Linked DNA regions of Drosophila melanogaster. Changing the gene in region 2 together with the main gene of any one other region gives a genetic interaction. Each region holds a gene or a part of one and is shown on either strand. Other genes may lie near its edges.

What was found.
Region 1: of ninaE (region 2) and meigo, changing one enhances a phenotype caused by changing the other (phenotypic enhancement), as found in Drosophila melanogaster (one study listed by BioGRID).
Region 3: of ninaE (region 2) and Cdk5, changing one suppresses a phenotype caused by changing the other (phenotypic suppression), as found in Drosophila melanogaster (2 studies listed by BioGRID).

Annotation. Positions count from the first base shown.
Region 1 is NT_033777.3:21,136,569-21,141,293, forward strand, and holds meigo (medial glomeruli), read left to right. Parts: upstream 1-1,701; 5' UTR 1,702-1,920; intron 1,921-1,986; 5' UTR 1,987-2,292; coding exon 2,293-2,497; intron 2,498-2,549; coding exon 2,550-3,011; intron 3,012-3,121; coding exon 3,122-3,471; 3' UTR 3,472-3,797; downstream 3,798-4,725. Other genes in the region: Usp8 (ubiquitin specific protease 8), read left to right, coding at 147-377, 441-895, 952-1,282. UniProt on the Drosophila melanogaster protein: Probable sugar transporter.
Region 2 is NT_033777.3:19,884,898-19,890,060, forward strand, and holds ninaE (neither inactivation nor afterpotential E), read right to left. Parts: upstream 3,310-5,163; 5' UTR 3,134-3,309; coding exon 3,126-3,133; intron 3,063-3,125; coding exon 2,502-3,062; intron 2,327-2,501; coding exon 2,179-2,326; intron 2,121-2,178; coding exon 1,843-2,120; intron 1,775-1,842; coding exon 1,648-1,774; 3' UTR 1,358-1,647; downstream 1-1,357. Other genes in the region: Ask1 (apoptotic signal-regulating kinase 1), read left to right, coding at 1-198, 259-531, 597-834. UniProt on the Drosophila melanogaster protein: Visual pigments are the light-absorbing molecules that mediate vision. They consist of an apoprotein, opsin, covalently linked to cis-retinal.
Region 3 is NT_033778.4:15,568,600-15,573,193, forward strand, and holds Cdk5 (Cyclin-dependent kinase 5), read right to left. Parts: upstream 2,819-4,594; 5' UTR 2,704-2,818; coding exon 2,536-2,703; intron 2,472-2,535; coding exon 2,284-2,471; intron 2,124-2,283; coding exon 1,759-2,123; intron 1,697-1,758; coding exon 1,533-1,696; 3' UTR 940-1,532; downstream 1-939. Other genes in the region: Flo1 (flotillin 1), read right to left, coding at 152-227, 520-571; CG30466 (uncharacterized protein), read left to right, coding at 916-939, 3,079-4,158, 4,214-4,327; CG8204 (uncharacterized protein), read right to left, coding at 4,590-4,594. UniProt on the Drosophila melanogaster protein: Probably involved in the control of the cell cycle. Interacts with D1 and D3-type G1 cyclins. Possible regulator of neuronal differentiation and/or development.

The sequences.
Region 1 (4,725 bases), 1.3 Mb from region 2:
GTAGCGGGCGTGAGGCTCCAGCTGCCAACAGCTCCGCCCACCTACAGCATTTATAGCTCCATCTTTCCGCTGAGACGAGTAATAGCTATAGATTTTATTTTCCTCTATCTCCGAATAGTTAACTATATCCTTGGATAACATTTCAGGGTCGTGGACTGACTGGACTGAAGAATCTGGGCAACACCTGCTATATGAACAGCATACTGCAGTGCCTGAGCAACACGCCTCAGTTGACCGAGTACTGCATTTCGGACAAATACAAGAATTACATCAGCAGAAGCAACAAGACTAATGGCCAGGTGATCGAAGAGGTGGCTGCACTCATCAAGGAGCTCTGGAATGGACAGTACAAGTGTGTGGCCAGCCGAGATTTGAGGGTATGCAACTGAAAAAAAAAAAACACCCAAATTTCTTTCTAAACTAAACATACTTCATTGCAGTACGTTGTGGGCCAGTACCAGAAGATCTTCCGCGGCGTTGACCAGCAGGACTCACACGAATTCCTCACCATCCTGATGGACTGGCTGCACTCGGATCTCCAGACCCTACATGTGCCCCGTCAGCGGGAGATGATCAGTGCGTCGGAAAAGGCTTGGCTGGAATTTACCAAGGCGAAGGAGAGCATGATTCTGCATTTATTCTATGGCCAAATGAAGAGCACTGTGAAATGTGTGGCCTGCCACAAGGAGTCCGCCACGTACGAGAGTTTTTCTAATCTCAGCCTGGAGCTGCCGCCAAACTCGAATGTATGTCAGCTGAACCAGTGCATGGACATGTACTTCAGTGGAGAAAGGATCCATGGCTGGAATTGTCCTAGTTGTAAAACGAAAAGAGATGCCATCAAGAAGCTGGATATATCGAAGCTGCCACCTGTGCTGGTGGTGCATCTTAAGCGGTAAGTGATGCTAACACTATGCTATGCTTGTTTATAATTTCTTAAATCCCGCATAGCTTCTATGCGGATCCCAGTAACTCTGGCTCGTACATGAAGAAGCAGAACTACTTGCGCTTCCCGCTCGAGAACTTGGACATGAATCCCTACATAGCACGGGCGGAATCGCGGGCGGTAACACCTAAGACCTACCAGCTGTACGCCGTATCCAATCACTACGGCACCATGGAAGGCGGGCACTACACGGCATTTTGCAAGAGCGCCAACTACGGAAAATGGTTCAAGTTCGACGATCAGGTCGTCTCGGCGTTGGACTCCTCTAACGTGGTTTCTAGCGCTGCATACATTCTTTTCTACACCTGGCTGCCACCCATGCAGGTGCCTCTGTAGACGCTTCGCTCGGTTTCCTTTCGGTTTTTACCCCTTTCGTTTTAATTGTTTTTTGTTTTTCTCTCATATTATAGCTTTTAAGGTCTAGTCGCCACACCCTTTTATCATTTACAAATTACCGCTTAACTGTTAACTGCTATTTAAGAGGATAATCGCTTGTTTGTTGTTGTCTAGGCTCTTAGAACAGTATTACGCGTGGGCGTATTTTCAATGGGTGCAGGCTGCATTCACTAAAACCAAGAACTTCAAGTGCATTACCAGTGTAACAAAGAGAAGCCCGCATATACGCCTGTGTATGCGGGACTATAGTTTATTGTATTTTGCAAATATATTTTAAAACCAAATAAACGAAATTCAATTTCTGATACAAAGAATTTCTTTGAAAGAATCATGCGTAGGGTTTTTAGAAAACAAATTGGGGAGAGCGGGTATTTTACACTCAACAAATAATATAAAAAAGGGGGTGAAAGTTATTTTACCATTGCAAAGAAAAATTCAGCTAATTTTCGCGCCGAAAAGTTCAATTCGAGATATCCGATAAGTAAATATATTCACTTCCAACTAACGGTCACACTGTAAAACGCCCCCGCTCTTTAGCAAATGCAGTGTTGCCAACTCTTGCTTTCAATAAATAGCTAGTTAGTTGATTTATCAATTATTACATTTATAGTGTTTTATGTATGCCCTATTTTTCATTTATAAAGAGTTATGATTTAAACTTATTAAATAAGATGATGAAATTGATGATTCAAAAGAAGAACATAGCTATAACAGTGCACCTAAAAAATGGCCAAAAATACAGGTGCTTGCAATCACTTAATCTAATCTGGCTAGTAGCCAGCTAAAGCGGCAGCACCGACCACGTATTTGATTGGATTATTTGATAGTCAACGCCAAATCACGGCACTGCAGCCGCGACTCCAGAGAATGCCAACTGTTTAGGATCGTGCATTAAGTCCGACTTAACCAATTCGCAAGTCACACGCTTTAAAAACCGTCATCTGCCCGCCATGAATCTGCCGGAACGCAGCCGTTTTGTGATCTACGCCGTCGGTATCTTCGTATGCTACTTCTTGTACGGAATTGTCCAGGAGAAGTTGACGCGGGGCCGCTACGGCGAGGAGGTACAGACAGATGGATCCGTGGGAGAGCGCTTCACTTACGCCTTGGCCCTTGTTTGGGTGCAGTGCCTCTGCAACTATGTGTTTGCCAAGGGTAAGGATTACGTGGACTTGTAACGAATCAATTCTGATCTGTGGTCTTCCAGTGCTGCTGACCATTAGGCCGCAAAAGGAGGACACCACCAACGCGGGCTCCTACGTGGCCTGTTCGCTGACCTATCTTCTGGCCATGGTCTCCACCAATATGGCCATGCGCTGGGTTCCCTATCCCACTGCTGTGGTGGGTAAATCCGCCAAGCCCATCCCCGTCATGATCCTGGGCGTGCTGATTGGTCGCAAATCCTACAGCTGGACGCGCTATGCTTGCGTATTGACCATTGTCCTGGGAGTTATTCTCTTTATGTACAAGGAGGGCAAGGTGTCCAATTTGCCGGCTGAGACCACGCTTCTCGGCGAGGTGCTGCTCTTCCTCAGTTTGTCAATGGACGGATTGACTGGAGCCGTTCAGGAACGCATCCGAGCGGCCAGCGCGCCTTCCGGTCAGCAGATGATGAGGGCCATGAACTTCTGGAGCACCCTGATGCTTGGCGTTGCCATGGTATTTACAGGTGAGTGTTAAAAACACTTTATTTGAGCTAAAAATATTGGCTAAGACCTTTTTATGTAAGCCCCATACGTTTTTATAAATGTTCTGAAAAACTATAAAAAAAATCTTCAGGTGAGGCCAAGGAATTCATGTACTTCACCATCCGACATCCCGAGGCGTGGACCCATTTATCGCTGATAGCTGTGTGCGGCGTGCTCGGTCAGTTCTTCATCTTTCTGATGGTGGCCAGCTTTGGACCTCTGGCCTGCTCCGTGGTTACGACGACGCGAAAGTTCTTTACCGTCCTGTGCTCCGTTCTGCTGTTCGGAAACGTCCTGATTGCCCGCCAGTGGCTTGGAGCTGTCCTGGTGTTCGCCGCACTCTTTGTGGACATGCTGTACGGCAAGAAGGCGCCACTGGCTACGGCCAAAAAGCCGCCAGTCGAGGGAAAGCTATCCGAGGAAAAGAAACTGAATTCGTAGAATTTGATAGATGATTGCATAGCCCTATGTACTGTACATACACAAATTAAGAAGACAATGCTTCCGGCTCGAGCGGCTGCAGCGCCAAAGTTTCCCCATTTCCTAGAACTGCTTATCGTACAAAGGATTCTAGCTATAGCGAACACAGCATTCGATACTTGATCTGCAACCCATAGACCGTCGTTTAAGTTAATTAAATTATTGATATCTATTAGAAAAGGAACAAATATTGTGCAAAAGTTTACACCAGACCTGCGGGTCTCTAACATACAGGATCATTCAATCATTTAATGCTACAATTTATAATTAAAACGTGCTCTTTTATTAATGGTTGTATTATTTATATGGAACGTTACTAAGAAGGCCTAACAAAGGCAACTTATTTTCTGGCTCAGTTTAATAAATATTTTCCCATTTTTTTTTGTATTTTCTTTAACTTGAATTTAAAGCGCTTAAATCAGAGCTGCCACCTTACACGAAATGTGAACTACGTTCATAGGCAAAAGTAAGATGCTATGAAACTCGAGTTCCAAGATAAAATATCAATTTCGTGTTATACTGAAATAAGATTTAATATTGTGTTAGCTACTATATAAACCGTAATAATATGAAAAAAAGACTACACAAATTAGTTGTATCGATACCGCGACGAATCAATTGGCAACAATCGATAGGATCACTTTGCCGACCCTGGCAACTCTAGTTTATTGCCGTAGCCGTTGCAGATACGGTCGAAATTTTCAGAATGTTTTTAAAATGTATAAATCCAGTGTGCGCAATGCTAATTATACAATAAACTAATCGGGACGAAAATTTCCGAAAAATAAAAGAACGCATGTTTCGAGTTTCGGAACGGAACGGAAGGAAACACAAACGCGAAATTAAGCGAAAGTTGGAAAAAGGATATGCCCAGTATTAGCGGGAAAATGCAATAAAAATTGCAAAGAAAAGCAATCGAAATGCAAAAATTGTGATTATTTTTAACAGCAACGAATGCAGTGTGACGTGTGATTAAAAAGAATAATAAAATTGGCTCGTTTGCATAAATCAAATAAAATATTTTCTTATTGGATGAGTCGCACTCTAGTTGTTGTTGTTGCTGCTACCGCTGCCAGCTGTTTGACTGTGTATTTGTTTTTGCCCTGGTGACGTCCGTGCGCGTGTGTATGCGAGTGTCTTTTAGTGCTTTGGCTTAATTTTAGCAACTAAATTCGATCGAAAGTGAGTGTGGGTCGCAGCGACGCGAATAAAAGC
Region 2 (5,163 bases):
GGGATTAACGCCTGCGGAATCGGGCGGGGATGCTCTGTCCAGTTCGATGGAGTGCGCGCGCATCCTGAGAGACATCCGTGACAATCAGCAGAAGCTGCAACGCCAGCTCCTTGAGCAGCAGCGGCAGAGCATGAGGGCCCTGCATAATATCAGTCAGGAGCTGGCTCACATTTACATGGGCGGCAGAAAGAGATTAAGGTTGGTAAACCAAGTAGGACATTGTAAATTTTATTATAATTCACAATTTCATCTTAACAGACGCACAATAAACGGCTTTAACAAAAAGTGCCATAGAATGAGTACCAGTGTGGGCGGAACGTCCGGAGTCCGTCCGAATATAGCGGGCAATCCCCGGAGGCAGCTAAACAAGCATCACTTTGGTCTTCACGAAGTAGACGAGCAGTTGGAGCAGTGGTTGACCCAGCAGGAAATAGACGAGTTCTCAAAGACGCTCATCCTGAATGAAGGTTTTACATTTGACGACTTTATCTATAACATGGAAAAGCTGGACCTCATGAGGCTGGGTCTGCGGTGCGTTAAAGCTTATAAGAAAAGTACACTTAATCCATGCTCAACTAACTTTTGGTATTTTGCAGCGTTGGCATCGAAGTGCGTTTGTGGAAACTCATTATACAAGAACGTGTGTGCACCTCGTCCGATTGTGTGGACAGTCCACCAAGCACTTACCACAAACCCATTGGAGGCAATAGCTCTTTTGCGCTTATTGACAACAACAATACGCTACCATCACCCACAACCACAACTCCCGGAACGCCGGGCATCAAAACGAAAATCAAGAAAAGCGAAAGCGAGTACGATTCGTGCAGCGAGTGACTGGAGTTGAAAGCTTTCTGAGTTGTGCCTTTACAGATACTACTGATTAATTGTTAATGTTCTCCATGTGCTACTAACCGCTGCGAGGCTCAGCTCAATGAGTCTCCAGCAGCCCTGGGTTAAGTTCTCCCATGCTGACTCATGTCTTTTCAACTTTGAGTTCGAAAAGGCGTTGTCTGTGTGTCCAGTTTTAACGATTGCATGTTAACTTATAAAAATGGAATTTACATAAGTGCCTTTAATTTAAAAAAAAAAGAAAACAAAAACTGAAATAGATAATATATTGTGAAGTGCTTTGCAAAAAAGGGGTATTTCTTGTTAACTGGAAAGGATTTATAGCTTCTGAAGAAGACTATTATACATATAAGAATGAATAAACTCAAATTTGTTGTGGTTCTCCAAACTTTAAAGGCGAAAGATAACCGAAAGTTGATATCCGAACTTTTGTAGGTTCGTCATTAGGGTTTTTCCACGCTAAAAGCTGCTTTTGTTAGATATACTATGTTTTGAAAAGGCTCATTTTAATTTATAACTTTTCTAGTTCGTTTGCATTTATTTTTTTTGTTGAGTTTTTTTTTGTCCTTAACTGACATTGCAGGAAATTTAATAACTGAGTTTACATTGCTTTTTGTTATGTAAGAAAGTTGCATAATTTTTTCATTATTGTTGAAGTTTTTGATGTTATTCGAAAGCGTTTCGTTCTGTTGCTGCAGTTGTTCTTGCTGTTGTTTTTGTTGCTGTTGTTGTTGCTGTTGTAAGTAGTTAGATGTTCTTGTTGTTGTTGTTGCTGTTCTGGTTGTTGCGCCAAAGAATTTATGCCTTGGACTCGGCCTCGCTGGCGGTGGCCTGCGATTGGGCATCGCTCGATTTGCCATCGTCGACCTTGCCAAAGACGCAGCAAGGACACTTCTCCTTGAGGGCCAGGCGATATTTCGGATGGCTATACGGAATGAAAATAAAAAATTGGTTAAATATTAAGGTATATACGTTTCATAGCCCATAACCAACCTGATGCCGTATACAATTGGATTGTAGCAGGCGGCCGATTTGGCGAAGCAAGCTCCCCAAATGGTATTCAGTGGTGTAAGGCCCTCGAACTTGAACAGTCCCATGCAGTTGATGACCAGGTATGGTGTCCACGCCATGAACCACAGCGTGATGGTGACCAGAGCCACCTTGGCCAGCTTGCCCTCGGCGCTCTTCTCGGCATCCTCAGAGGAGCGGAGGGACTTGACATTCATCTTCTTGGCCTGCTCGCGCATGGCCTTCTCGTGGGCGGAGACAGCCTGTGGGAGGATATATCGGGTTAAGCGACTGGGATATGCGAGTCTCGTCGCCACTTACAGCAATGATGAACCAGTAAGAGTAGCAGATCAGGAACAGCGGAATATAGTACACGAAGATGGAGTAGAAGATCAGGTATGAGCGTGGGTTCCAGTCGCGTTCCAAGTAGTCAATACCGCACGAGGTCAGGTTACCCTCCGGCACATACCTTTTAGATTAAGAATATATATTTATAGGATAATGTTAGGTGGTAATAATATTAATACAATTGTAATTTGTAAACCTTTTGTTTGTAATTTAAGTTTTTAAACATTTGTATATAGTAGCTTTGATCATTTTTTAAAAAATGGGTTCCCAGAAGGTTTACCATTTCAAGGACTCACCTGCTCCAGCCGAAGGCGGGCGCCAGGCACCAAATGCTCGACATGAACCAGATGTAGGCAATCTTGCCCAGGGCCAGCGGAATGGTCATCGGCCGGCCGGCCATGCCCTTGACGATCACTTGGTAGCGATCCAGGGAGATCATGCACATGGACCAGATGGAGCTGCAGCCAAAGGCCGAGCCCAGTCCGGCGTATATGTCGCACATCATGGGTCCGAGCACCCAGGTCTCGAAATACAGATTTATGCCCATCATGGGCGTGTTTGTGATCATGATGCCAAAGTCGGAGATGGCCAGGTTGATGACCAGCAGGTTAGCGGGCGTGCGCAGTGATTTGGTGGTGGCGAATATGTAGATCACCACGCCATTTCCGCACCAGGAAATCATGCCGATCATGATCATGTAGGCGGTCAGGATCTTGGCCCAAATGGGGTCCATGGCGGGGAACTGGTTCCAGTACGGGCTGATCAGGTGGGCCATGTCGGGCGTGACCTTGTCCACCACCGATCCATTGGACAGGGGGGCAAAGTGTGGCCCCAGTTGCGCGGCTGCTACTGCAAAGCTGCAACACCGAAGCAAATGTTAAATTGCTAACCAGAACATCCAGTGGATCCACCGATCGTACCTCTCCATTGTGTTTTGGTTACTGGCTGCGTCACTATATCCCGCCTATATCACACTGTCTACATAAAAAGCTGCAAATTCACTAACAATATTTCTAACACTTTTTACATAAAGGGTTCCTGGATTCTGAATATTTCACTGGGGCGGACTAGTCGCGGCGATTGGTCGTTGGAAACCTGCAATGTCTGCATTCTGCCGCATGGCTTTTATAGTTTTCGCGGTGCTCGTGTAACCCCTGCTCTTGAAATTCAATTAGGCCAGCCTAAAAATATGTCTGCAATGTGCAGAGGAAAGTGTCGACAGCTTTTGGCTTATAATCATAATATCCATAACGAAAGCAAGCGCACATCGCAATGGGCCAATGTCAATAGTTAAAGGCATTTCAAGGGTTTCCACTGGGGGTTCTGGCCGAGTATTATTCTTGAGTCTCCAGATTGTGCAGAAAGCAATGGCGAAAGTCAGCGATTTAATGTGTCAATGCCTAGACAAATTTGAAGAATATTATGAAAACATATCGTAGCAGAAGAAATATCAGTATCGTTCGCCTGCGACACCAGTGCGTATGCGCAATCAAGTATACGCAGTGTGTGCGCCGATGAACGCACATCTTGAGGGCTCTGCTAATCTTGGATTATCTTAAAAAGAATGCCAGCTTTTGGAAGTAGTAAAATAATCTATTTAAATTAAGAATATGAACACCCCAGACGCTAAGCCGCTTATGGATTTTTTGTGCTGATTGATCTTTTCGCACCTCCATTGAATTTTCCGAACATGTTTTGTTTCTTTTCTTTTTGGTGTGGGCAGCTTGGATTTTATTTTGTCAGTCCAGCTTTGGCATAAAAGCCTTTTGTTCGCCTTTGTGCGATGGCTCAACACATCAGCTTGAATTGGGTCAAGTTTTAGGCTAATCCAAATGGCCAAATGGGATGCCACGCTTTGCGCCCAACCCAAATATGGAACTAAACCGAAATAACTGTCAGCTGGTGTGACAGTCGACACATGTCGGCAGATCTTTCGGTTTAAATCAATTACACACCGCAAAACAATACAAAAAAAGCGCAGGTAATAAATATTCATATAAAGTTAGCCAGCGCAAAAAACTAACAAAAATACCGAGGCGCAAAACCGGAAGCTGCGCTCATATCGCCATTATCATTACCATCAATTTGATCATCATGATCATTATATTGGCGTCATCGTTAGCCGCACTTGCGGTTCCCATACTTACGTATTTACCTACAGTTCTGTGTATGCATATATACAAATAATCTGGGTATAAACCATGAATCGCATTTCAATTTATTCGGCATTTTCGGGTTTCGCTAAACAACAAAAGTCCCCCGCCCACCTGCTAGATGGCCCAAACATAAAAGCCAAGTAACGAAATGGGTATAGCAACAACAGAGACATATGGACAAGCCAACTTGCAACAAACATTGCGATGTGAAGTGGAAGAAGGCCGCCGAAGGCGGGGAAGAAGACGATCATTTAGCATTAGCAAATAAGCGAGATAAACGCTGCGATCCGTAGACGTTGTTATTGTTGGGGAATTTGTTGTTTTCCTGCTCAATGAGGCGGGCAAATTTGAAACTAGAGAGGCAGAACCAAACTTACCCGGCACTTTGAATGCCCTTCTCTGTAATATTTAATACGACAATAATACATTTATGTTGATCGTGTATTGATAACGATAAAGATTTGAGTTCGGGGTGTATGTACCTGAAAGTATGCTCTGTATATTTCACGAATTTAATAAGTAAGTAAAGTATAAGTAAGTATAATATAATATGCTTATAATATAATATTATTATTATATTCAAATAATAGCGTTTTATTATAATACCTGGTATTTACGTGACATGTCCAAACTTCTCAAACGAACCGTGACACCCTGGCTCCAGGGCACAGTGTATAATTAACAAACACCTATGATTTGATTTTTGTATTTTTATGTTCGACAATGGATTCGCGCTCGCCAGTGTGAGTGACGCGTGTGTGAGTGTGCGTGTGAGTGGGTAAACGGCGGCAAGTGTTCTGCC
Region 3 (4,594 bases), on a different chromosome or scaffold from region 2:
TCTGATAAAATAAGATTATTTTATTATAATTTAATATATTTTAATAAAACCGAATTCTTACGAATAATATTTCGAATACCCGCGCTTTTTAGCGCCTCCCTAACCTGTGGCTTTTCGTTGGAACCCCTGGTCTAAGCCGGTTAAAACTCACCGCTGAACCTGCTGGCCCACTGGCCAAACGAATGCTCGTCCTCCCGGCACCAAAAGCGGCTTCATGTAGCAGCACCCTGCGCAGAAAACAAACAAAAAACACTTTGTTTACAAAACATTGCAGCATTTGGATAACAGCACCGCAACGCCGTTCAAATGCGCACGCATGGCTTCGGACTGCCGCATATTCAGCTTCTTCCCCTGTTATCCCAACAACAACATTTGCGGTACACAAAAATCGATAGTGACGTCACTTGGGGTGGGGTGTATATATATGTGTGTGTGCGTGACAATTTCATTTTTATTCACTGACTTATTTATTTAATCGATTTGACATTATTTTGAGCATATAAGGATCGTGTGATTTACCAGAGACAACTAAAGCCTCGTTGGGGCCGCAGGTTACAAATCCCCAAGTCATTTCTGCAGCACTTATTTGTTATTTATATTAGAAAATGGGTTGCTGCTGATAACAGCTTTTGTTTTATCTGCGCGGTTAACACAGTTTTCCGATTATTAACTATATAGCGAATTATCCGATCCACAGGTAGCCTTGTTTATTCGTCTAATAATATATATAAAAGAATTTCCGAGGTACTCGGTGCTTAAGATTCAGAAATCCGACCGGTTCGGTTAGCAATTCGTAGCACAATAAAAAAATCTCTCAATCTGTAAAGTTCTCAATTTCTAACTCGCGAGTGCGCAGAACGACTTTAACCCCTATTGAGTGCCGGGGGTTGAGGCGACCACTTCAAAATATTCATCATGCTGCGACGACGTAGTGCTGCGGTAAGTGTCTTTATTGGTTTAAAAATCTAGGTTACATCTCAATTTTTTTTATTCTAATTTACTTAATGACTCATATCATTCAGAAAGATCGAAATTCTTAAAAATACACAATAAATGTAATAAGAAAATCGTCGACACTCATTAAATTTGGAAACCAGATGTATTGCCTAGTTTTTAGTCTTTGAAAACAGAAACTAGGATTTCAAATATTTTTTCCACATTCACACAAACAGTAGATATCGTCTAGGAATTTGAACAATTTTCGGATCTTAACGATACACTCAACATAAAAATTTTTAAGAATAAAACTATTTTACTGAATCAATAAGTATTTTATCGATAAATGTTAATTTGGCAGCTCAAATGGCTATATTAAGTGTCACATTGGTAGGGATTGTCATAAATCAAACCTTTTGCTTTGGTAAATCAAACTAATGAAATTATAAAGAACTTTTTATCTTATACTATAATCGAACTCTACTGCAAGGACATACATATATAATTAAAAGATCTTTGCTGGACAAAGTCTCGCATTTTGGCTTAAGTCTAATCAAAGGTCGTGAAAACAGTGGCTTGGAAAGAACCTTCCGACCTCAATGTCCCGAAGAGCTGCTGTCCGTAAAGTAGGGATGCTGCATCGCCGCCTCCGCGCTAATTCGCTGATTTGGCCGGCAGATGAGCAGCTTTTGCAGCAGGTCGCGTCCCTTGGAGTTTAGCCTAGGTACCAGCTGACTCCACGAGGTGATGGCCGGAAAAGCTATAATATAAATAGGCTTTTAATATTGGTATCGATAAATAAAATCCGTCTAGAATCCCTACATGGAAGCGCCACGTAGTCGGAGAGGTGCGAAACTCCTGGCCAGGAGTCCTCGTTGGGGGTGCCCAGCACACGGAAGATCTTCATCAGCTGATCGAGCACGTCAGAGCCAGGAAACAGCGGTCGTCCAGCGTCCGCCAGTTCGGCCAAAATGCATCCAGCGGACCACATGTCTATGCTGGTCGTATAGAGCTTGGCTCCAAATAGGACATCGGGTGGTCGGTACCACAGGGTCACCACTTCTGCGGAGTAGCACTTCACGGGAATGCCAAAGGCTCTAGCGAGACCAAAGTCAGCTAGCTTTAGCTCGCCGTTTTTGTTGATCAGCAGGTTCTGTGGTTTCAGATCGCGATGCAGGACATTATGGCTAAAATAGGATAATGTAGCGTAAGTTAAGTCTCAATGCTATAAAATGGATATCATTCGGAAATGTGCCACAGATGAAGTTACTCCAAATAACACTTGATTCTAACTATAATCGACACAAGATAAGACCTAATCCAGTGCTGATACATATATAGGTATACCTGTGGCAGAATGCCAGTCCGCGGAGCAGTTGGAGCATAAAGCTCCTGCAGACGGCCATGTCGATCTCCCCGTTGAGGCTGTCAAAGTACTTCTTGAGGTCCTGGTCGCAGTGCTCGAAGACCAGGGTGAGTTTCTTGTCCGAGTGCAGGACGTCTATGAGGCGCACAATGTTCTTGTGCTTCAGCTCCTACGGATGGTAATGTGCCGATTTAGTTTATAAACTGGAATCACTTCCTGCTCGTCCGACTGACCTTCAGCAGGCAGATCTCCCGGAGGGCAGAACTGGGCACACCCTCGTCGTCCTCGTCCAGTCGCACCCGTTTCAGGGCCACTATTTCCATGGTGTCGCGGTTGCGACCCTTGAACACCGTGCCGTAGGTGCCCTCCCCGATCTTCTCCATTTTATCGTACTTCTGCATTTTGCTGTGTTTTGGTGTGTATTATTTTGCGTTCAGATGGAAAACTCCGGGGATTATTGTTTTTGCAGTTTGTTTTTGCTGGCCAGGGATTCGTGCGCCTAACAGCACACTGTTATTCGCTTACAGCACGCGGTGACTAACCAACATCGCAGCTGACAGTCTGCTGTCACCAAAAATACTCAAAATTAACAGATATCATTTTAAAAATGTTGATAAAACTTTTGTTATAATTTTATTGTTTTATTTGGACTCGATATTAGCTAAACATACGAATATAGACCGACAATGATAAACACCGATCTTATGGTACCGCAATGCAACAATATAGCAGAAATATAAGTATACAAGTTTCCTAATTTCTTTTGCCCTTTGCAGAATACCAAGCCTGGCTTACTATGTCTGCCCGATGATGTTCTAATGATAATTCTAAGTTATCTCGACTTGAAGACCCAACTAAAACTGAAAGACTTTCATTTCCGGTTTAAGAAATTAATGCCGTATGTGTGGCGTGCTTATAACAAATGTGCATATATATCCTTGATTGAAATGCAGCTGAGCGACAAGGATTTGCTATTCTTCCTGGAAAGTACTCAACAAATCCTCAGCACTCTGCGGCTCAAAATGAATAATAGATCTAACTTCGAAACACTTACCAGCTGTAGTTTTCCAAAACTTAAAGATTTTCGATTTTCCACGCATTCGTTTAACTTAAACGATGCGGACGTGCCAAGAATGTTGAAAACTTTTCCAAATCTGACAACTTTTAGCCCCCATGGAAAGTTTACTGGCAAACACTTTGATGAATTCGAGTTTCTCGAGAACCTCACGGTCTCCTACTGCAGCAAATTCAATGTCACCAACTTGATACAGATCCTGAAAACCAGAAAAATAAAATCCCTGAAGCTGGGTATCTTCGATATTGACCAGATTTCGAACACAGAACTGCCCTGGAAAGGGATTAGAAACCTAGAGCAGCTGCAGTGCTTCCAGGAGGAAATGATGGTGTGGTTCCTATCGAAACTGGAACGTCTAACTCACTTGAAGAAGCTATTTCTTTGTGGTCACGTTAGATACGGATTTCTGAGAGAGATTCTCATAGCTGCGAAGAGAAGCACTATAAATATGATCGAGATAAGCCAAAATACATCCATATTTTGTGAAACTTACGGTTTAAATGTGGCTATTAAGACCCTAAAGGTGGCTAATTTTGGTATGCATGCGTATCAGCATCTTCACATTAATGTCAATGAATTTTATATACAAAATTCGGTTTGTGTGGACGAAATTAAGTTTCATACCTTAATACAAAACCTAAACACACACGAGGTCCTGGGTATATACCATTGCACCTTCGGATTTAAGGAGTTCACATTCGATGCGAAGAAACTGGGAGAAAACCGTACCACAGCACTTAATATTTATGTGGAACTAAACACGTATCTCATGTCTAATGAGGTCTAAGTATTTCACAACTTATATTAGCTTTCGTTTCTAATATTTTTCATTACAGGATCCCATCCCCATGACCTGGAAAGTGCAAGGGGAACATAGGCTTTTCAAGTTGCACATGAAGCATCCAAAAATCACTTTTAACTCGGATCCAGTTTCAATTTACTTTGATTGAGTTTGATTGCCAAGGAACGAAGCTGTAGACTGATGACTAGTTTGATATGCCAGCTGAGATAGATAACTTTAAATGGCCGAGCCAAATAATTAGTTGTACGTTTTCCCTGGTTATGGAAAAGATTCAACCTTACCGGCGGATTTCAATGAGAAGTTTCCAGGAGTTCTTCAATGCAAGCTCCTCTAGAAGCTGCCAAGGATTGACAGTACTATTAGTTACAAAATAAAGGCTTAGTTTTATTGAGACTGTGTGTCAACTTAATTCAGG